Linked DNA regions of Stegostoma tigrinum. The protein of the gene in region 1 purifies or fractionates together with the protein of each later gene. This does not show direct contact. Links are inferred from orthologs where the notes say so. Each region holds a gene or a part of one and is shown in the gene's direction. Other genes may lie near its edges.

Evidence for each region. Proteins that work in one complex are often made in the same cells at the same time.
Region 2: the proteins of ddx6 (region 1) and edc4 purify together in Homo sapiens (affinity purification with mass spectrometry; 4 studies listed by BioGRID and IntAct, counting the BioPlex papers as one, with this or other methods). This does not show direct contact. The link is inferred for Stegostoma tigrinum from reciprocal best matches to the Homo sapiens genes DDX6 and EDC4.
Region 3: the proteins of ddx6 (region 1) and lsm14b purify together in Homo sapiens (affinity purification with mass spectrometry; 4 studies listed by BioGRID and IntAct, counting the BioPlex papers as one, with this or other methods). This does not show direct contact. The link is inferred for Stegostoma tigrinum from reciprocal best matches to the Homo sapiens genes DDX6 and LSM14B.

The regions. Positions count from the first base shown.
Region 1 is NC_081385.1:2,253,744-2,262,218, reverse strand, and holds the start of ddx6 (probable ATP-dependent RNA helicase ddx6), read left to right. Parts: upstream 1-5,176; 5' UTR 5,177-5,580; intron 5,581-8,475.
Region 2 is NC_081369.1:18,116,718-18,124,212, reverse strand, and holds the start of edc4 (enhancer of mRNA-decapping protein 4), read left to right. Parts: upstream 1-4,101; 5' UTR 4,102-4,181; coding exon 4,182-4,242; intron 4,243-7,495. UniProt on the Homo sapiens protein: In the process of mRNA degradation, seems to play a role in mRNA decapping. Component of a complex containing DCP2 and DCP1A which functions in decapping of ARE-containing mRNAs. Promotes complex formation between DCP1A and DCP2.
Region 3 is NC_081372.1:17,963,376-17,970,980, forward strand, and holds the start of lsm14b (protein LSM14 homolog B), read left to right. Parts: upstream 1-4,211; 5' UTR 4,212-4,381; coding exon 4,382-4,502; intron 4,503-7,605. UniProt on the Homo sapiens protein: mRNA-binding protein essential for female fertility, oocyte meiotic maturation and the assembly of MARDO (mitochondria-associated ribonucleoprotein domain), a membraneless compartment that stores maternal mRNAs in oocytes.

The DNA.
Region 1 (8,475 bases):
CTAGTCCTAGTTTCACCTGCTCGTGGAAACAACCTCCCTGCCTCCACCTTATCTATTCCCTTCATAATCTTATATGTTTCTATAAGTTCTCCCCTCATTCTTCTGAATTCCAATGAGTATAATCCCAGCCCACTCAGTCTCTCCTCATAATCTAACCCTCTCAACTCTGGAATCAACCAAGTGAATCTCCTCTGCACCCCCTCCAGTGCTAGTATATCTCTTCTCAAGTAAGGAGACGAAAACTGCACACTGTACTCCAGGTGTGGCCTCACTAGGCCCCTATACAGCTGCAGCATTGCCTCCCTGTTTTTAAACTCTATCCTTCTAGCAATGACAGACAAAATTCCATTTGCCTTTTTAATTACCTGCTGCACCTGCAATCCTACTTTTAGCGATTCATGCACAAGGACACCCAAGTCCCTCTGCACAGCAGCATGCTGCAATTTTTTACCCCTTAAAGCATAGTCCACTTTGCTGTTATTCCTACCAAAATGGATGAACTCACACTTATCAACATCGTACTCCATCTGCCAGACCTTTGCCCACTCACTTAGACAACTGAGATTCCTCTGCAGACTTTCAGTGTCTGCTGCACACTTTGCTTGAGCCACTCATCTTAGTGTCATCTGCAAATTTTGACACACCACACTCAGTCCCCAACTCCAAATCATCTACGCAAATTGTAAACAATTGCGGTCCCAACACTGATCCCTGAGGCACACCACTGGCCACTGACTGCCAACCAGAAAAACACCCATTTATCCCTACTCTTGTTTTCTACTCGTCAACCAATCCTCTATCCACGCCAATATAGTACATGTAATACCGTGCAACTTTATCTTATGTAGCAGCCTTTGGTGTGGCACCCCGTCAGAAGCCTCCTGGAACTCCAGATACACCACATCCACAGGTTCCCCATTGTCCACCATCCAAATGATGTCTTCAAAAAATTGCACTAAATTAGTTAAACATGGCCTACCCTTCATGAACCCATGCTGGGTTTTCCCAATGGGACAATTTATATGCAGATGTCTTGCTATTTCTTCCTTAATGATAGATTCAAGCATTTTCCCCAATACAGAAGTTGAGCTAACTGGTCAACAGTTACCTGCTTTTTGTCCACTTCACTTTTTTAAACAGTGCTGTCACATTGGCTGTTTTCCAATTTGTGGGAACCACCCCAGAGTCCAGTGAATTTTGGTAAATAATTACTAGTGCATTTACTATTTCCCCCATCACCTCTTTTAGTACCCTGGGGTGCATCTCATCAGGTCCAGGAGACTTGTCTACGTTTAGCACCCATTAGTTTGCCCAGCACTGCCTCCTGAGTGATAATGATAGTTTCAAGGTCCTCTCCTGCTATAACCTTTTTGCCTTTCGTTTTCGGCATGTTATTTGTGTCTTCCACTGTGAAGACCGACACAAAATAACTGCCTCGGCTATTCCCTCATTTCCAGTTATTGAATTGACCTTCTCATCCTCTCAAGGACCAATGTTTACCTTTGCCACTCTTTTACGACATGCATATTTTGCTGCCTGTTCTTATATTCTGAGCTATTTTACTCTCAGAATCTATCTTACTTTTCTTTATAACTTCTTTGTGGCTTTCAGTTGACCTTTAAAGATTTCCCAGTCTACTAGTTTCCCACTACTCTTTGCTTTTTTGTATGTTTTTTTTAATCTGATACTTTCCTTTATTTCCTTAAACATCCATGGCTGACTATTTCTTTCCCTACAGTTCTTCCTTATCACTGGAATATACTTCTGCTGAGCACTGCGAAAAATCAATTTGAAAGTCCCCCACTGTTCCTCAATTGACCCAGCATAAAGTTTTTGCTTCCATTCTACCTTAGCTAACTCCTCCCTCATCCCATCATAGACTCTTTTGTTTAAGCACAGGACATTGGCACTGGATTTAACCTTCTCACACTCCATCTGTATTTTAAATCTGTATTTTAGGGCAGCTTGGTGGCTCAGTGGTTAGCACCGCAGCCTCACAGCACCAGGGACCCAGGTTCGATTTCAACCTCAGGTTACTGTCTGTGCAGAGTTTGCACATTCTCCCCATGTCTGCATGGGTTTCCTCCGGGTCCTTCTGGTTTCCTCCCACAGTCCAAAGATGTGCAGGCTAGGTGGATTGGCCATGTAGTGTTCAGGGTGTGTGGATTATAGGGGGATGGGTCTGGGTGGGATGCTCCAAGGAGCAGTGTGGACTTATTGGGCAGAAGGGTCTGTTTCCACACTGTAGGGAATTAATCTAAATTTGACCATACTATGATTGTGCCTTCCAAGAGGATCTCTAACTGTGAGATCATTAATTATTCCTGTCTCATTGCACAGGCCTAGATCTAGCATAGCTTGCTCCCTCGTAGGTTCCATTACATATTGTTCAAAGAAATTATCGTGGATGCATTCTCTGAGCCCCTCCTCAAGGCTGCCATGACTGACCTGGTTTGACCAATCGATACGTGGATTAAAATCCCCCATGATAATTGCTGTACCATTTTTACATGCATTAGCTATTTCTATGTTTATTGCTCGCCCCACCACAATGTCATTATTTGGTGGCCTATAGACCACACCTATCAGTGACTTATACTCCCTGCTATTCCTAATTTCCACCCAAATGGATTCAACCTTTTATTCAGTAGAGCCTATATCATCTCTCACTACCACCCTGATCTCATCCTTAAAAATCAGAGAGACACCACCTCCCTTACCTTCCTGTCTGTCCTTCCGAACAGTTTGATAGCCCTGGATATTTAACTCCCAGTCATGACCATCCTGCAACCGTGTCTCTGTAATGGCCACTAAATCGTACCCATTTGCCATGATTTGCACCACCAATTCACCCACCTTGTTTCGGATGCTCCAAGCATTCAGATAAAGTGCCCTTATGCCAGGTTTTGCACCCTTTTTCTGAGTCCTATCACCTCCATTACTAACAGCTCTTCAGTTCTCTTGAAGCTTCGTCCACCTACAGACATGCTGTTTTGCTTCCCTGTACGCTCACTCCTCCCTTCCCCCGTACTTACTAGTTTAAAGTGCTGTTGACCACCCTATTTACCCTTGTCACCAGATTAGAACAGGTTGATTAAAATATCTACAACTAGCTAGGCCACACTGACATAGAGTTATAGCAATAATTTGTATTTATGTGGTGTTGTAATATAATAAACATTCCGAGACATTTCATAAAATATAACAGTGAAACATAGTATGAGTTACTTAGGGAAATGATCAAAAACTTCAAAGATATAGTTTTTAACTTGTGACTTAAACGAGGAAGGTAGAGAGGTGGGTAGATGGATGTGGAGGGAATCCAGAGCTTAGGGATTGGCAGTTGAAGGTATGGCCACCAATGGTGGTGTGATTAAAATCAGGGATCCTCAAAAAATCAGAATTAAGCTTGCATTACCTCAGAGGACTTGTGGAGCTGGAACACATTATAAATAGTGATCAACAAGCTAGAGAAGAATTTTAACACGAGGGTAAAAATCAACATCCTGGGAGTTACCAATGACTAGAAATGAACTAGATACTGTGTAAATACTGGGGCTACAAGTGCAGGTCAGAGGCTGGGAATTCTGTGCCAAGAGACTTACTTCCTGACTCCCATAAGTCTACCTACCATCTACAGGATACAATCCAGGAGTGTAATGGAACACTGTTCACTTGCCTAAATACACAGCTTAAGAAATTTGACACCACCCAAGATAAAGTACCAGTATGATCAGTACACAATCCATCACCTTAAAATTCACTCCCTCTAGTGCAGACATACAATGGCAGCATTATATTCCATCCCAAAGATGCACTGCATCAGGTGGCTATGCCTCCTTTGAAAGCACCTTCCAAACATAAGACCTCATCCAGAATGACAAGCAGATGCACTGGAACACCACCATCACCCTCAATTTCACATCAAGCTATACAACATTCTGACTTGAAACAATATCACTGTTCTTTCACTCTTTCTGAGTCAAAAATATGGAACTTCCCTCCTAACAGTCCTGTGGGGGTATCTACATCCCATGGACTACAAAGGTTCAAGAAGGCGCTCACCGTCATCCTCTCAAGGGCAGGGCAACAAATATGCTCACGTCTCATTGAAGAATAACACAAAATCAGAAAACTGTTTAGTAGAGGTTGCCATGTAAAAACTGACTGCTTCATTTCTCATGTTGCATCTGTCAGGAACTAGGCTGTAATTGGCTGCAAATCTCAATGAGACATCTGATTATCATGCAAAGCACTATATAAATGCAAGTCCACTCTGCAGTGATAGGGTGGGAGGGGAATTAAACTAAAATACTAAGATGTTGTGAATAATAATAATAATAATAATAATAGCTGCTCAGACCACATTCCACCTGTGGTGGTTCATGAAGATTTGCCTTGCTTATACTAGAGTCAGAGCCAATGGGAACTGCAGATGCTGGAGAATCCGAGATAACAAAGTGTGGGGCTGGATGAACACAGCAGGCCCAGCAGCATCTCAGGAGCACAAAAGCTGGCGTTTCAGGCCTCGACCCTTCATCAGAAAAGCATTTGCATTTGCTGATGAAGGGTCGAGGCCCAAAACGTCGGCTTTTGTGCTCCTGAGATGCTGCTTGGCCTGCTGGGTTCATCCAGCCTCACACTTTGTGGAGGCAAAATGGTTCTCCTCAAGGCATTTACACTCAGCTAAATGCCTATGCTTCCTGAATGGACTTTGAATAAAGAACTTCCAGTAAGTGCTCACAACCTATGAATGTACAAAAAAATATAAGATTATGGTGTTGTTTAACTGTGGCTAGTGTAGCCGAGGGAAGCAGAGGGGTAGTTATCAAATCAGAGCTCATGGTACAAAATAAAGCCAACCATTCCAAAATAGTCCTCGTATCTGTATTTCAAAATAATCACCTCGAAAAGACGTATTAAACACTTCCTGTGGCAAAACATTCCATGCTCCGACATTTTTTTTAAACTTCGAGCAATTGTCAGGAATACTCGAACAGAATGGGGAATTTGAAGGGACATGTAAGTGAGACCACTCAACGTGGATGGATTCAATTTCCAAATCCTTGCGACATCTCGATGGAAAATGGAGCTGCCAGGAGAGGGCGCGAACTTGCTGCTGCAACAACAACAACAGCATCAGCAAACAGCGATACAAATGCAGGAAAAAAAAACAAAGCAAACCATGACAAATCCAGGAGGGAAGAGAGGAAAATAAGTGACCAAGAGCAACAGTAACAAAAAAAATTTCCCAAATTACTCTGGGCTAAAATCAAGGCACACATTGCATGGGGTGGGGGGCAGATCACGTGGTAGGACAATTTCGCCCGACACGCCACCAATAAACTTAAATTAAATTCTTATACTGATGACAAATTCTGACAGTTTGTAGTTGATTTATTGAGTTTGATGAGGTAACCCAGATGTTTTTTGGGGGTGGGATAGCTTTAAAAGTCAACTGATTGATTCGGGCTCGGCCGATGACGTTGGGCCGAGGGAGAAGACGCCATATTGGAATCGGGCAGACAAAAAAAGCGAATAAACATAAGCAGAGTCGGAGAGAAATCGTCGCCATCGAGGGTTTGTTCAATGATGTTTTTTTCTTAACACTTTTATTCGAGTGTCAGGAGTTAGGATGTGATTTTATTTTTGGAAACGGTCGCTTACCTGCTGTTATTTATGAAGCTGCGTAGGATGTTGATTATTTTTTCCTCTCTTCCGTTGGCCGTTGCTTTGCTGTAAGGCCACAAACACTCTGTTTTGTCGTTTTTTTTTTGTTTTAATGTGTTTGACCGTGTCTTTTAAAATTTCGTGTTTTGAATCCAGTTTTTTTAAATTATGCGTTTTTCGCGAATATGTCGAAAGATTTCGTTAAATGTCTTCTGAAAATTGTAATTTACTTAATTTCTGATAATGCTGTCGAGACTTGTTTTTCTCTTTATGAATTTTTTAGGAAGTGTTTGAGCTTAGGCTGTTCCTTTTTTTTCGGGGTGACGGAGTGGTAGAAGGCGGCCGGAATTTTATGAGCGAACTGGTGTAAATATTGACCCTTTTCTCCCTCACTTCACTCTTTCTTGTAAACTATAGCTTCTCACTCCGTCTGCTGGCTGGTAAAAGTACATAAATATCTATCTTGCATATTAAATAAAGCGCGTGGATTTTTGTTTACTCCTGTGAAGCTAGATTTTTCTGTTCCAGTTTTCGTTCTGTTTATGTCACTACAATGTGACAGATGGTGTTGGGCCTTTAGGGTTTTAAACATCATAATCTTGCTGTTGTTCCAAAAAAGATAAAAAGCTAACAATAGTTTGGAATGTTGATACTTTCTTTAATTTCAAGCGATAGAACTTATTTTTAAAATTAAAAATGTCTAAGCTGTACTAGAAATTCTACCTCAATGGCTAAGGTTAAGGTTAAGTTCTTGTAATTGAAGTTTCTGCAGCCCTTGGTTGTTTTTAAGGACGGTTATCAACTTTCATTTAAATTTGTTTACATTACATTGCCAAAGTTTGCTATCTTGATTTTTATGTTGTGAATGCAATCTTGTGTAGATGGGATAAAGATAAATTTGTTACAAAATATTAGAAAAATAGTGACTACTTGTACATCACTTTTTTTCGTGGTAAAACATCCCCAGGCACCAGAACGTTTGTTTTGACAATGATACCAAAGCACAAAGAAGTTCCCATTGGTAAAATTTGAGCAAGGAGGTGGGTTTTAAGGAGTACCTTAAAGGAAGGAAATAAGGTTGACAAGGTTTTGGAAGTTGAATTCAAACTTTTTTGTTTCAAAATTGGTTGATTATCTGCTTTGATTTTTCCCTCCCTGCTTAATACATAAGACATTTAATGTCCTTTTCGGGAAGGAAACTGCCATCCTTACCTAGTCTGGCTTATGTGTGACTCCAGACCCACAGCCATATGGTTGACTCTGAACTGCTGTCTGTGCAGTTAGGGATGGGCAATAAATGCTGCCTAGCCAGTGGTACCCTCATCCTCTTAATTGTTTAAAAAAAATTTTAAAAATTGAGTGTTCAATCCCTCTTACGTAACCATGTTTGATTTTTGGAAGGTTGATATATGTTTGGAATATTGTACCGATGATTTTTGTTTTGAGGTTATTTAACTTAGTCTGTTTGAACAAGTGCATTCTGATTTGTCCATGCTGTTCAGTTTAACTAAGTTTTTCAATTTTGGAGGCAGAAGTGATAGGATAGAATAGAATAGAATGGAGTAGCGCAAAGTCAGCAATTAATTCAGTGTTTAGTATAGATGTGTTTCAACTTATTGAAACAGTTTAAAATACCTGCCTTTGCCCTTTATACACTAGTTATTAGTCTATTCCACTGCAAAAAGAGCCAGTGGCAAGTTTTAATAATGTTAACTACCTATGTCCAATGCAATGTCGAACTTGTTGTAAATTGGATGAAAATGATTAGGTCCAGATCAGTATTATAAAATGGCAAGCTATTTGATTACTTGGAAGCTGGCAAAATAACAGTTTTCTTACTGTACATAAAATATGCTGCAGGCCATTTGGCCTGACCAGTCCATGGCAGTCTTAATTCTCCATGACACCTCCCATCTCTACCTGCTCTAAATCTATTATCGTAATTCTCTAGTCTATCTCCCTCATGCCCGTCTATCATTTCCCCTGAAATACATCTAATCATTTGCTTCAACCACTCGTATGGTAGTGCTTTCCACGTACTGGCCTTTATCGTGCAAGAGTTTTTCTGAATTCCATATTCTATTTCTTGACTTACCTTATATTGATGGCCTTTAGTTATGCTTTTTGCTACCAAGCAGAATCATTCTCTATGTCCACTATATAAAGTGATGAAAGGTTTTGATAGAAACATGTAGTTCACCTCCCAGCTTGTGTTTTGAAAGGAGATCCAGGCTGTTCACTGTTTTGATATGTGTATTATATGCATGTGTATTGTTATAATCGAGGGCACCAAGGCTCCTAGTTCCTGCATCTGTGCTGTCCTGTCCTAGTGCTTCTGGATCGAAGATGACTTGCTTCCTCTTCCTTCTCCAACTTAATAGATTTTGACATTTCTGATCAGTCTGACTGTTCTGTCCCATGCAAAACAACTTGTGCGTGAAGGATAGGTAGATAGTTGCTCAGAAGTTTGCGTACTGTCCTGATATCTTCTGTCTCTGTGTTCCTGAGTTAGGTTTGTTGACCTCCTAAAGAACATTCTTTTAGTCAGTCAAATGCCAGGGTTTCCTACGAGCTGGTGGTTTTGTTTGGTCTTGCGAGTGTGAAAATCATGCCCTGCTCAGCAGATTGGTTTTAAATGATTAGTGGCATGTTGGTTTGGCTTGCTTGCCACTGGATTTGGAGGCTCTTGTAAAGGCACTTGTAGTGGTACATCAAGTGGGTCCCTGCTGTACGTTGTCCAAATATCTGAAGCATGTAGTAACTCGGATCATAACTGCCTGGTGGCCGTGACAGTGGTCAGAATTT
Region 2 (7,495 bases), on another chromosome or scaffold:
TTTTGAACACAAAGAACAACAATAAATAGTATTTAGTAATGCCTTGAACCACGCGGCCATGTTTCATTGGTTTTAAAGATGTTATGAAAACATTTTCTTTTAAACAGGACAAATAATGTTTTTCGAGAGCTCCTGAATCAGGGAAAATCAGGCAAGCAAGGGACTGCACACTTAGAATTAAACTATAATGACAGGCGTTGTTAAATCACATGAAAAGAAAGTAGAGGTGATTAATTAATTGATATTGAAATTAACTGGGAGCTTTCACTTGGAAATATGTGTGCCCTTGACCATGACCTTTTGTAAAAGACAACTTAAGTGAATGCTTTAGTCACTAAAACACTGGGACCAAACAGGGAGGAGATACAAGCACTCCTACACCACTTTCGATTTTTGAATATCACTTGAAAGTCAAGCATGTGTGGCATGACGTTAGGATGACTATAAAGGTGCTGAACTGATTTTTAGATCCGAAGTAACTAACATGAGGGGATCATGGTGAAAATGCCCTGCAGACTGGGTTTCAGAGTTTTCAGTTATTTGACACAATGCTTATTGTGGCCTGAAGAACAAGAAAACATCAAATTGCCAGTATACTGACTCATAATCCAATGGGAAACTGAAATAGTGGTTGATAAGTGAGTAAAATTTAAAATGAAAAGAATATTCAGTGAGGCATTTAAAAGTTACAGGGAGAAATATATAATGAGAATTACCTACAAGATGAAAACAGACGAAGGGAGGTCTAGACAATCTTCTACGTTTATGCATGATATGTTGGTGTAATGTTAGGATAGCTGGTCAAAGGTCCTGGGAATCATTGAAGGTATCCTATGTAGAACCAGGGAGAAGAAGGACAAGTCAAACAACTTGATGTATGGAAACAAGAAAGCAAATAACATGGACTATAAAACCAGAACAAACCGGTACCAACAAATGGAGAAAGGGTCAGTAAATAGCCTAATCATCACCTATATGCAAAAACAATTATACAATGATGTGAGCTATGAAACACTACTGCACTTTGCTTAGAAGGGGGAGAAGCTTACTTGTGTCATTATGACATAAGAAATCCAAGTAAGCCAGTCTGTGACTTCATTCTGGATCCAGTATCATCTGTTTATGACACAAATGTTCAGAAATGAGAACAATGCATGGTATTTTCAGTCAGCATAATGTCTGGAGAATGCGATGTGGGGAAGAATGTTGGTCCATTTGGAGTCCTAGCTTCTGCTTTCAACCCACTGATACAACTATGAGGGAAAATCATTTCTTGAACCCTGTATCAATGTTTACATCACGGATAGTAATATGGTAGCTGCACTGATATGGCAGTGCTGAGGTATACCTTTTCTATACAGTGGTAGTGAGAGTACCAAAGTTGTCACGATTCTTTTATCTAAGTCTATTGCATATTAACCACTTGAGATACATTTGGCTGTCTGCATGTTGTGGGAGCTTCATACTTAAATTAACATACACTATACTGGGCAGTGGAAGCAGTCACCAATGCACCCTCGGACTCTATGTAACAAAACAAAACCTTCTTTACTCAAATAAAAAATAGAAGTTACTGGAAAACTTAAGATTTGGCTGCATTTGTGCAGAGAGAAACAGGGTTAATGTTTCGTGTCTGGTATGATTCTTCTCGCTTTGATTCAGGCTTGAATATTAGCTAAGTTCACACACTTGCCATTCAATGAGCTGTTAGGCCAGGTCACACTCTGTGTCACTCAGTCTGCTCCATCTTTTAACCAAGGCTGGGAAGTGAGAACTTCCAGCTTTAGAACAACGCCTGTTTGCTGATAGCTGTGTTTGTGCTGAGGAGAAACTCGGACCTCTGACTTGATCAGGTGTTAGGAAACTCTCATCCCAGATCGGGATCTAGATGTTGCCTAGTCTGCAGTTAATCCATTGCATTCTCACTGAAGTCATGGCAGGATCGTGCAAAAAGGTCTGCGAATTTTCTATTCAATTGATAATTATTTTCTGTAATTTTAAGTTATTGGTTTAGGATAATACCAAACCAACGGTAAGTATCTGGAACAGGAACAGAAATTGCTGGAGAAAATTGCAAAATCTGGCCATGTCTGTGGAGGGAAAACAGAATAATCCTTTTTCAGAATTGATAGCATCTGGTGAAAAGTTACTCCGTTTTCTTACTCAACCAAGGATTTCCCACCCCTGTGGTTGACAGTGCCCTTAGCCAAGTCAGACCTATCACCTGCACTTCTGCCAACCCCCTTCTCTTCCTTCCCACATCAACAATACGGTCCCCCAATCTCTACTTTCCATCTCACTGGCCTCTGCATCCAAAGCACAATGAGCAGACATTTCTACCAGCTACAGCAGGTTGGCACTATGAGATATACCTTCTCTTGCCCTCCCCTCCCCTCCCTTGTCAGCTTTCCCTGGGACCGTTCCCTCTGGGACACCCTGCTCTCTCCTCCTTCTCCAATTCCAACACCTTCTCATGAAATCACAGAACTTGCAACGCTTGTCTGTTTACCTACAATTTCCTCACTCTTCTAGGTCCTTGACACCCCTTCCAGGTGAAGCAGCAATTTATCGGCACTTCACTCAATCTAGTCGACTGTATTCACTGTTCACAATGCAGTCCCCACTACATGGGGGAGACGAAATACAAGCAAGGTGACCGCTTTGTAGAACACCACCTCATCGGAGGCTCACTGATGATGTTACCTAGAATGGTGACGAAACGTCTGAAAACTAACCTTCCAGCTCAGCGAGCAACTCACAGCCAGAACCTCAACCTGAGCTACAAATCTTCTCAAAACTCACTATCACCTATGTTCTGTCTGTAAAAAATGACCATAAGCTTCCTGTTACCTCTCAATTCAACACATGCTAACCTTCTTTTTCAGCTGCTGCCGTTCTCTAGCAAGGCTCAGCAAAAGGTAGACGAACAGCATCTCATTTTCCATGTGTGACTTTGCAGCCTTCAGGACTCATATATATATAAAGTTCAATAATTTTAGAACCTAAACAACTCCATCCTTATCTTTCAGCATAGCCAACTTATTTTTACACACGCATAGTCTCTGTTATCAACTATTTAGCTTTTTTTCTTCCCTGGCTGACTGTCAACAATCTACTTATACCTCTCTCTGGGATCTTTCTCTACCTTCCTGATTACCTTGAATTTATCCACATGTCTTGTTGTACCATCTTTTATAATAGACGGAAGCATTTTCCCAACGATAAATAATGTTAATTGGCCTGTAATTTCCAGTTTCCTGCTTCCCTTCCTTTTTTGACGAATGGAGTTAGACTACTTATTTTTCAATCTAAAGAAACCTTCCCTGAATCAAATCAGTTTTGGGAAATTAAAACCAATGCATCAATTGTTTCATGGGCTACTTCTTTTTGCTTTGTTAACTTTTTAAAAATATCTGAAGAAACTTTTTCAATCTGTTTATATATTTTGGTTAAATTTCCTTAAAGATCTATTTCCTTCCTTCTTATTGATGTTTTCAGATTTAAATTGTTCTGCACTAGACAGGAAATAAAATCCGAAAAAAACTGCGGATGCTGGAAATCTGAAAGAAAAAGAGAAATTGCTGGAAAAGCTCAGCAGGTCTGGCAGCATCTGTGGCGAGAAATCAACAGTTAACGTTTTGGTTTCAGTGACCTTTCCTCAGAACTGTTCAAAACAGCAACTTCTGTTTTTGTTATATTGTCCTGCATTGTCTTCCGACTTGAGAGCATATTGAACCGTCCCAAAAGCATGACACATTCTCAACTCAAAGCTGCCACTAGTCTCTGCTTTCTGCCTCCAAATGTTTGGTCCTGCATTTCTGGAGGTCCATCCCTTAACCTAAATTAGCATTCCATTTCACACCGTATGATCTTTTTTTCTCTGCAACATGTTTCCCTTTTCTTCGTGAAACTTACATATGCATCCATTGGTACATCATCATATCAGGCGTGAATGAACCTTGTTATTCATTTAGGAGTACAAAGTTATTTGGTGACGGGGTGCATCGTATCGCTCCAGGACGGTCCGTTGGGCTGGGGTTCGGCAGTCAGAGGGAGAGTTTGTGATTACACCGGAAGAGACCTGTTTGTCCGTGGCACCGCCGACTGTTTGGCGGGGTGGCTGCGTGCGCATCCCTCTGGTTTTCGGGCCGCTGCCGTCGCCACTCAGCCAGGCGTCTAAGATGGATATTGAGAATGCTACACAGCACCTGCGGGATATGCTAAAGCTGGACCGGGTCTCCGGTAAGTATAGAGCCCGGGCCGCTTTGTTTAAAGGCTGCGTGAAGCCCTGGAAGCGGCTGACTTACTGGGGCTGGGCGGGTGTTACCCGGGAATCCTGGAGGTTGGGTGGAGTGAATCGCTTTAATCCGGAGTCCAGGCCTTGTTTACTGGGACCTCCACCGTAGATTGGCTGTCCCCTGAGGCACTGCTTTTTCCCTTCGCGGGGCTTAGTTACTCGAAGATGGTTCTCTCAGAATCGGGGACCTGCTACCGGCCCGTTGTCCGTGTGGTGGGGTTAGCTGCTCGAATGTAGTGCTTCCAGAGGGTGGTGTCTTTGCTGATGCCAGATATTGACCGAAAAGAACTATATGACCTGCGGATGCTGGAGATATGAAACAATAAACGAAATTGCTGGAGAAATTCAATACGTCTGGCAGTGTCTGTGCAGAGAAAGCAGAGTTAACGTTTTGGGTGTAGTGACCCTCCTTCGGAACCAATTTGTTTTTGTTGTTCAATATGTTTCACTGGTCAGCCAGTCGACTTTCAATTTCGTTTCCTGGAATAACACTGTTTATCACAGTCTAACGTGCAGGCAGAAATTTCTTACCGGATTGCTTCGACAGCTTGTAAATAAGTTCAGATGTGGATGCACCGACAGTCAACGTATGTTGGCTTTATTCTTAAAAGAGCCAAGAAAGTAGTAGTGTTGATAATTTGGCCTACTTGATCATAACCTGCATCTAGACTTTTTAATTTGAATTGATGCTGTAAATTATCATCTGAATCCCCTTCCTGTTCAATTATAATGGTAGAAAGTTTTGCTTAGTTCAGTTTAACACGTGTTGTTAAACTAATACAGACTTATGTTGACAGACCCTCTTGAGTGTTATCTTCTGATATTCTCATGCTTCATCAAGTTTAATTTTGACCTTTGTTGAAAATGGTTATAATCACTGATGGTTTGCTTAATATTTGCAAGCTTGCAATCTTTTTCATTTTATATAACGTGTTATGGACAGGAAAATGAGCCTGTCAGTCTAAGCCAGTTTACATTGTACGTTATGAAATTAACGCCTTCTCTGGAAAGGAACTTTTTTAAACTTTTGCGGTAAAAAGAACTTCAATGTTTCAAGACTACTGAGCATACTAACCCTATAGGTGTACGTTGCGTTGTGATATACATCATGGCTTTCAAGGTTCAAGGATAAAAACCTTCACTGTTTGTTTCAAAAGGCTGAGGGGTGACCTTAGAGGTTTATAATGTTATGAGGGGCATGGAAGGGGTGAATAGTCAAGGTCTTTTCCCCAGTGTGGGGAATCCAAAACTAGAGGGCATAGGTTAAAGGTGAGGAGGGAAAGATTTGAAAGGGACCTGAGGGGCCACCTTTTCATGCGAAGGCTGGTGCATGTATGGAATGAGCTGTCAGAGGAAATGGTGGAGGCTGGTATGCTTACAAAATTTAAAAGGTACCTGGATGTGTATATGAATAGGAAGGGTTTAGAGGGATGTGGGCCAAATGCTGGCAAATGGGACTAGATTTATTTAGGATATCTGATTGGCATGGATGAGTTGGACTGAAGGGTCTGTTTGCAACAAGGTTTCCATGCTGTACAGCTCTATGATGCTATAATAATGGGTCTTGCATGCCGGCCAGTTTGGTATTGACAGGAACGTCAAGTACGTGAACATCTCTCACCCTGGAGTGTTGTCAAATTCTATGTTTTGAGGTTTGACAAGCTGCAAATTTATTACAGCACCATTCTAACACTCCTGCATAAGTGTTTGTTTGTAGATTAACCACATGCATAAGTCCAGTTACAAATACATTGAAGGTAAAACCAGGGCTTGTATTTCTAACCTATCTGTCCTTTCCTGATAGAGTAGAATATGTTAGGCTGTTGGGTCTGTTGTATCATGTTTCGTTCTGCAGCAGTACATGCATACTGGTGGGTGAAAATATTGTTAGTTTAAAATGTTGCTTGTCTGTAACATAACTGGATGATCTTGTCGTTGTCACATTACTGTTCGTAGGATTTTGCTGAGCACATACTGGCCACTGTGTTTCTTGTATAGCAGCAATGACCACATTTTTTTCCTCTGCTGAGTGTAAATGACTGCTCTGAGCCTCTGCCTTCATGAGATAAGTCACCATCTTTTCCAGAACAAGTGCTCTCTTTTGGGTAATATTCCACAATCAAGGGATGAATTTTCCAACGTTTCACTGAAGGAATCTAGCCACATTAAGATGCTAAAAGGCTCGAAGCGTCATTTTCCAATAAACGAGGGCTGTATATTTGTTTAACTTCAGAAAGTCGACCTGTTAATCTCTGTAATATGGATGATTGTGGGCATCTGAATGAAACAAGTTACCTCATCATAATACATTAAGACTAATTCATGATGGGATTGTTCCACTGCTAATGTCATAAAGCTTTCCACAGGATAAAACACTGATGAATGAGTTTTTCCAACAGTTAGGAGAGCCACCATGGTGTAATATTTGGTAGTGTTTTTTGTGCTGATTGAACTAAACTACAGTAAACTTTTTGTCGACGCAGTTGACCAACTTCAAGCTATTAGAAATAACCCTATAATCGCAACTCAAAGTAGTCTTGAAAAGAGACATCTCAAGCCCCTCATCTTACAACTCAACTATTTTCTTAGAAATCCAAGATAGAATAATCTTACCAGGTTTCTTTATTTGGGGACTTAAAAGGGACAGAGTTGCTTGCTTGGTATACTGTGACTATACATAAGAAATTAGTTGATAACTTGGTAAAAACAGTCTAAATGTTGTCAGCTGTTGAGGTAAATGAAGGGGTTTGAGTGAATCTCTAAGAAATTGTGAATTTTATGCTCAGCTCTTTAATTAACTTCTATATTCTTAAGGATTTATGTTGTGTCTCAAGTCTTCTGTATTGCTAACTTTTAAGTCCCAGTGTCTCTTCGCTGGAGAGTTGCATTATTGAAGAAAAATTCCTGGATCCTAGCAATATATTGGATATTATAAATTTCCTGAAACTTACTTGGAGAATGGTAATAATCTAAGTTTGTTTCATTCCTTAGGCAAGACTTAAGCCAGATCTTCAGACCCATTCCATGTCTTATTCCATTTGGCTTTCTTAATCTTAAATTGAGTGAGATGATTAGGGAAAAATCCTGGATCCAGATGGTCTCATTAAGGAGCTAGAATTATAACCTACCAGGTCTCTTCACTTGGTCAAACAATCAATCTCACTGTGGCAGCATTACCTTCCAGAATGTTGCAGATGT
Region 3 (7,605 bases), on another chromosome or scaffold:
GCCTAGCTATTCCAATGTAGCTGCAACACTGGCATCTACCTGACCGTGTGGAAAATTGCCTGTGTAAGTCCTGTTGACCCCAAGTAAACAAATCTAAATTACTGACCCATCACTTTACTCTCGACTGTCAGTGAAGAGATTGAAGTTGTTATCAATAGTGACATCAACAGCACCTGCTCAGCAATGCTCAGTTTGAGTTCCACCAAGGAAACTCAGATATTGGTCTCATGATGGCCATAGTTCAAACGTAAAAACAGCTTGTTATAAAGCAGAGGTTGACCCCCCCCCCATGCCATCAAGAACTAAAACCAAAACACCCAAAGAGGAGTGCCTTGCCCTATGATCTGTAAAAGGAGTGTGAAAAGTGGTGTAATCTGTTTTTCAGCGACTTTAGTAGTTAAATAAATAAATCTCTGACACTCAATTTAAAATCAACAAGTAACAATTTATTTATCCCATTCTAACAGTGAACAAATTAGCTAAACTATTAACAAACTGAATAAATCCCTTCTCACTACTAACTGGTCCTGAATAAAGCAAGATTCTAATGGTATGCTGTTCCAATAAATACAAATCCCACATATACATGTAAAAAAAAATGTAATCTCTGGAAATTACGGCGATATTACGTGTCTTGTGGAATGTTCTGTGCCTTCTCCATTGATTCCTATGTCAGGAATGCCTTCTCCATCGATTGTTTGGTCAAGAATATTAACTAGTTGTGCCGTTGGTACTATTGCTACTCAGATGGTGCTTTCTCTAAGACACAGAAGAGGCTGTGACAGCCAGTGATTCTGTCTTGAGAGATGAGGGCTGTTGGCTCTGGGATCTTTGTCCAAATGTCTCCTCCTTTTATACCCTTGATGACATATCAATATTCATTACAATAGGATTGATTTTAAGTTGTCAAAACCACCAAATGTAAATTTGATGGTCTTTGATATCTAAGCACCCGGTTCAAATCAATTGGCTAAACTCAAAAGCCTATTGTCTTGGTCCTAAAATGCTGCTGCTTGGCCTGCTAACTGTATTGCCTTTTGATACAAATGTTTCAACTTGGGTGCTCACTATGTGCTTCTATATTTTGAAGCTGCTGCTCACAGACATCCGCTTTAAGTCTCTACGCGCCGAAAAAGCGCATCATCTTTTAAAAGGACCATGCAATGCTTTCCTCCCCCACACCCCCATCCATTTTACAAACACTAAATTCCTGCCTCCCAATCCACAAGTACTCTACCCAACTTTGCAACAAGCTGAATTCAAGAGGTAAGGTGAGAGTGACCGCTCTTGATCTCAAGGTTATATTTGACTGAGTATGTCATCAAGGAATCCCAGCAAAATTGGTATCAATGAGAATCATGGAAATTTTCCATTTGTTGCAGTCATACCTGGCACATGGGAAGATGGTTGTGGCTTTTGGAGGTCAGTCATTTCAGCTCTAAGGTATCTCCATAAGAGTTCTTCAGAATTATGTCCTTGGCCAAGCATCTTCTGCTGCTTTATCAATAACCCTTCCCTGCATCATAAAGTCAAAAATGGGGATGTTTACTGATGATTGTACAATGACCAACACCATTCACGACTCCGCAAATACTGAAGCAATCCATGTCCAAATGCAGCAAGACCTGGGCAGTATCCAGGTTGGGGCTGACAATGGCAAATAAAATTTGTGAGACGCGAGTGCCAGGCAATCGCCATCTCTAACAAGAGAGGATTTAATCATTGTCCCTTGACGTTCAATGGTCTTACCATGAATTGCACACTTTCAACATCTTGAGGGTTGCCATTGACCAGAATCTGAATTGGACTGGCCAAATAGGTACTGTCATTACAACAGCAAGTCAGAAGCTAGGAATCCTGGAGCACATAACTCACTACCTGACTCCTCAAAGCTTGTCTACCATCTGCAAGGCATAAATGGACAGCAGTTCAAGAAGGCAGCTCACCAACATCCCTGTAAATGTAACTTGGGATGGGCAACAATTGCCAGCCCACATCCCATGAAAAAGTTATAAAGAGTCCCTCCAGATTTCTGAAAAGTAAAGGGAGGGGAAAATATGTTTGATGTTGTCATTGGTGAAGGTGGTGGAAAAAACAGCATGAAAAATTGAATATGGAGTCTGTTGGTTTAGAAAAAAAGGAACTTTATCATAATTCTGGGATTTGGAGGGGACTAGGAACGTGGTCATAGCAGAATGACTGGAAATGCAATGGACATGGTCTCAAAACATCAAGAAACTGAGGGGTAGGTTGAGGGGAGGAAGCAAATTGGAGAAAGGAAGATATACCAGAATAGCTGCTACATAAGGTTGTTCGTCGGAACAAGTGACTGAAAGGTGGAGATTCTTTGAGAATTAAATAGGGAAATTAAGAAACCAAGGTGTGAGGAAGTGGAGGCTATGGATGTCAGTGGTCCTGTATTGAATATTAGTCAACAGCCAATCCTGGGACAGTGAAGTACAGGAAAGGAATAGAAGAATTAAGAGCGGATCATTTGAAGCTGCTGGAATCGTGCAAATCTAAAGTAATGTTACTGAAATTTTCTAGTTCAGGGACAGAGCAGGGAACAGTATCTATTACAGTCATTGATGTGCCAGAAAAAAATACAACGGAGGGACTTGATTAGGACTAAAGATGAGAATGTTCACATGAAAAGTTAGGTAAGCCCATAGTTGACATTGTCCTTTTTATTCAGAGGATGTGAGTGGGATTAAAGGTGAATTTGATCAATATGAGAACAAGTTCATCCAAGCAGAGGAAAGTGAGACTGGATGGAGATTTCATTCATGGAAGGAATAGAGAGCTTTCAGACAATTCTGATGGCGATGAATGTATAAAAAGATTGGGTGTCCGTGGCAAAAAGGAAACATTGCACAAAGTAGGACTCTGAGCTACCGAATGCCAATCATTTTCATACCTCACTCCACTCTGACATTTCTGTCCTCAGCTTTCCATACTATTTCAATGAAACTCATCGTAGGTTTTAGGAACAGCACCTCTTGTGGAGTGGAGAATTTTAGTGAAAGGCAACTGGAAGTTCAAAGCCATAATTACGCACTGTTTCCTTTTTGCCATAGATGCTATCTAATTGACATTCAATCGCTTCTGTTTTGTGGCCAACCACAGATTCCCTTTTTGTTGTTATTCCTTTTCCCCTTACCCACCTCCACACATGCTTTAATCTGTAATATCTATAAACTTCCATTATTAATGAATAGTAACCAACATAAAACATAAATACTTTTTTTCTCCAAAGATCACATTTGCAGTCAGTATTCCCAGCATTCACTGTATTTTGCTTTTGTGGAAGCTTGGTTTGTACATTGCTGATCATCAAAATTAAAAATGGAACTGAGAACATTAGAAATATTATGAATTAAATTCTGATCATAGTAATATACAGATTATTCTCAAAAACTGTTTCATTAATGCCTGTTTTTGTTGGAGCAAGCACATTCTCATTGTGAAGAGGGACTACTCAGTAATTTAAGATTGGGAGGGAACAGGGCTGAGGAATTAATACATAAGCTGATTTTGTGCTTCTAACTGATATCTGGTATATAAATATAAGCAACAAAAGGCTCTTTTAGTGCAATTAAACAGTCCTCTCACCTCTAACAGTGGATTAAAAAATAATGTCAATATGTGCAGTGCCACTTTGAAGGAGAATTGTTGGTATAAGCTCGACAGCATCCATGCTCACCAGTATAATTATTCTTAATCAACTGTTCAGACATGACATGACATACCCTGTGGGACATGCGAAACTTGGACCCAGATTTTATTTTACTGAGATAGGGGCCGACAGCGTGGGTTCAATACCCGCACTTGTTGAGATTTACCGTGAAGGACTCTCCCTCTCAACTTCTCCCCTCCCTTCACCCGAGGCGGAGGGACCCTTAGGTTAAGCCACCACCGGTTGTCTCCTTGATGAGAGAGCAGCCCTTTGGTCTGGTAACTCTGGCGACTTTATATTGAGCGACACTACCTCTGCACCAGGAGACCGTTAGACTCACCATTATACAGAGGGTAACCCTATGCCTACTGAATGTGACAAATACCTGCTCGGAGTTGGGCAGAACATGTGGGTGCAATGGCAGACCTCCGACCTGCAGGTGCCGCTGGAGTAGACGGTACGGCCCCGTGTTCCCGGGGGCGGAACTGGAAGGCGGTCGCAGCGGCGGTGACACCTTATTTAAGCGCCGCCAGGCTGGGAGGGAGGTGGGTCTTTGCTGTTGTGGGTAAAGAGAGTGGAAGTAAGTTATTGAGGTAGGGTGGTGTTTTTGGTGGGGGAAGAGAAGAAAGGAAGAGGTTTTGCATTGGCTGCAAGGCGGGAGGGTTTAAAAAAAAAGGGGAGAATCGACCGGTTTTGGCCGTCACCATGAGCGGCGGGACGCCGTACATCGGCAGCAAGATCAGCCTCATCTCTAAGGCGCAGATCCGCTACGAGGGCATCTTGTATACCATCGACACGGACAACTCCACGGTGGCCCTGGCCAAGGGTGAGTGCAGGCTGCTGGCGCCTTCCTGTTGTGCCACTGGGAGGCCTGGGTGTGGGTGGGGGGCCTCGTTCACCCTCCCTTGAGGCATAATTATCTCCTAACCTTATACCCGCTCGGACAAACACGGCCTTTATTTGTTTTGCCCGTCTGTCCAATTACCGATGGCGCCTTTTGTCCTATTTTTGCCACCCATCAGCTTGGTAGATGTTTTAGGCAACCAAGCCTGTTTGAATTCCCCTGCACTTGGTGTTTGGAGGAGCGGAGAGCCCACTTGTTTTCAGAATTTACTTTTTGTTGCTTTCTCCACGGCACAGATGAATTGTTGACTTCGCATTATTTCCAGTCCTTCTGCAGATTTACGTAGACTTGTTTATGGGAGTTTGCGTTATTTGAGGTTTTACATGCAGTAAACGGGTCGGGATCAAGTGACCACCTACCCCTGAGAAATCATGGGTTGGTGGTCGACCAAGTCGGAAAGGGCATTCGTTTAAATATCCCAAACTGTTATGATAGTACGTAGATTGTAGTTCCGATACTTCTCTTCTCCCCCGCCCAAGAGACTTGGAATATAAATTAGTGCTCGATCAAGTGGCGATGTCCAAAATAATTACAGTATGAACTTACGGTAATATTCATTCTAAATCTGCATTGGAGCCAGCTGACTTTTTTCCAATTGTGCTACAGGCAACATCCTCAATCTCTTCTGTCCAATGTTATCCGCTAAAAACATGCAGCGTTTTCACTCATTACCCTAACTATGCCCTCTCCTTTCAACATTTTCCTTGACGTTTAGCTTCCCCCTCGTTTTGACAAAGTTTTCCCTAATTTTTCTCCACTTTACCCTTTAATTTCTAATTCTCAACTGCATATTGTGTTCTACACGACTTTTTCTCTGAACTTGTTGACCACTAAGCATTGTATTTTTAATGTCGTTTTCTTCAATTATTTACTGAGCTATGTCTTTGCATTTTTGCCCTTCTCATTGTGCTTGTTTTTAACTTGAAGGCCTCCCATTGCTTGCCTGTTCTTGAAATTTTGTCTCCAATTACCTTATTGATTTAGTCGTCTTTTTCATAACTATTCTAAACCAAACGCGAGCACTGCTTTCCCAGATGTTCTTTCTGCAACATGTTGCACCTGTTACAGATCATTCTCCAGAATTAGATTTCATGCTGGTTCATTCCTTGTTGGGTTTTCAAATGGTCAATGAAAGTGAAGACAGTACCTGAATGAACTTACCAAAACAGGGAGAAAGTCTGTTTCTACCTGGGCCTTGCGGATTCCTTCTTCCTCTGCGTTCGTCAAGCAGCAATAACATGGCATCTTGGTGAATTAGGGGTATGATTGACTTATAGATGTAAGAGTAATTGTTTTTGATAAATAGATCTGTGTAATGTCAGGTTATAATATAACAATTGTGTTAAAGCTTTAAGACAGCTGAGCTATTTGATTAGCCCAAGCGTACCCCAAATGTGGCTCATCTGTATTATTCTTTCAGGTCATTCCTTTTCACAAGCTGCCAGGGTTAGTTTTGAAACGTTTGACCTTATTAAATTTTGACTAGTTCTACCCAAAATAGATGGGCCTTTCTGCTCAAGTGTGATTGCTTTGCCTTTGTCTGGTAAGTACTGCATGGTCTGCAGACTTTTACCTTAAAACTGCAACTGTATAACTGTACATATTGTTTATGTTGCAGGAATCAAAACAATTGACAGTGTTGCTGATCTAGCAGTAACAATTTGCTTTTTGAAATGTTTTTGCCCTGCAGTAGTAATGCTTCCCAACTTGAATCCTGTGGAATGCTAAGCTACCTCACTGCTGTGAGATATTTGGGTTGGTTCTCTCCTAATGAGAATGTACTATTTGTGTATAGAGTATTTCACTTTTGCTTAATCTGAGGTAATTTGACATTATTTCCTGATTCAGTTATCTTACTAAGTAGCTAGTTTTGCTGATTGACTAATCTTTGCACCTGAAACTCATTGAGTTTCTGAGGGAAGGGTCACTGGACCCAAAATGTTAACTGATTTTTATCCTCTCAGATGCAGCAAGACCTGCTGAGCTTTTCCAGCAACTTTTTTGTTCCTCGTTGAATGGATGTTTTGAAATTCAGAACCTTAAACAAGTTACTGTTTAGGAATGGCTTTCATTTTCCTCCTTCTGAAAAGTAATTCAAATATGTTTTAAGTTTTTAACTAATTCTTGTTTTGTGGAACCTTTGTAGACCTGTCAAGAATGTTACGGATCGTAGAATCTATTTGAGGGAATACTGTTTTAATGTGGATTTATTTGCAACAGGAAAGAAATGTGGCCAGGAAAAACTTGAGGATAGCCGTCTCTAGTGAAGCTGGTGGTTGCTTAGAACGGATGTGAGACAAGGTCTGATCCCTCAGTTAAAGAACTATGCACTTGGTCAACATTATGCATTGTACTCAGTATTGAAGATAATTGTTAATTGTTTTGTAAACTCAATTTGATATTGTTTCTTGAAGGCCCAAGAAGCAAATGACTCCATTTTGATTTAAACTACTCCCCATCTCCTTTCCTCCCCCTCAATTCTGATGGTTTGCCTTGCCCATATGGACTTTGCTTGCCAATGTTTGGTAATTACTAGTGGTAGTTGGTTTTTAAAGGAAGAAGAAAATGTCATGGTGATTTTAGTGGGAAAGTTGCCCCGTTGTGTGATAACACTTCAGGCTATTAAAAGGAAATGACTAGGTGCAGTATTTGATGCCACTGAGGCAGTGTGCCATAATAATAGATGCATGTCACGCCCTTAAAGGTTAGAGGCATCAACTGTATGAATGGTTTGGGCTTAGAGGAATTTAGGCTAAATGCTGGGAAGTGGGACTAGGTCAGCTTGGGATGTCTGATTGGCATGGACAAGCTGGACAGAGGGATCTGTTTCCTTGCAGTATGACTTTGATTCTGCTCAAAGACCAGTAAATGACATGGTACTGACTTGATCATAAAGATGGTAAGGAACCAATGTGCTGGACTGTACTCAGCATTTCTACAAGGCAGTGTGACTGAGATAAAAGGACAGAGATTGGGATTGACTTGATGCTGAAACATTCTGTCATTAATGATATGAAACTGATCA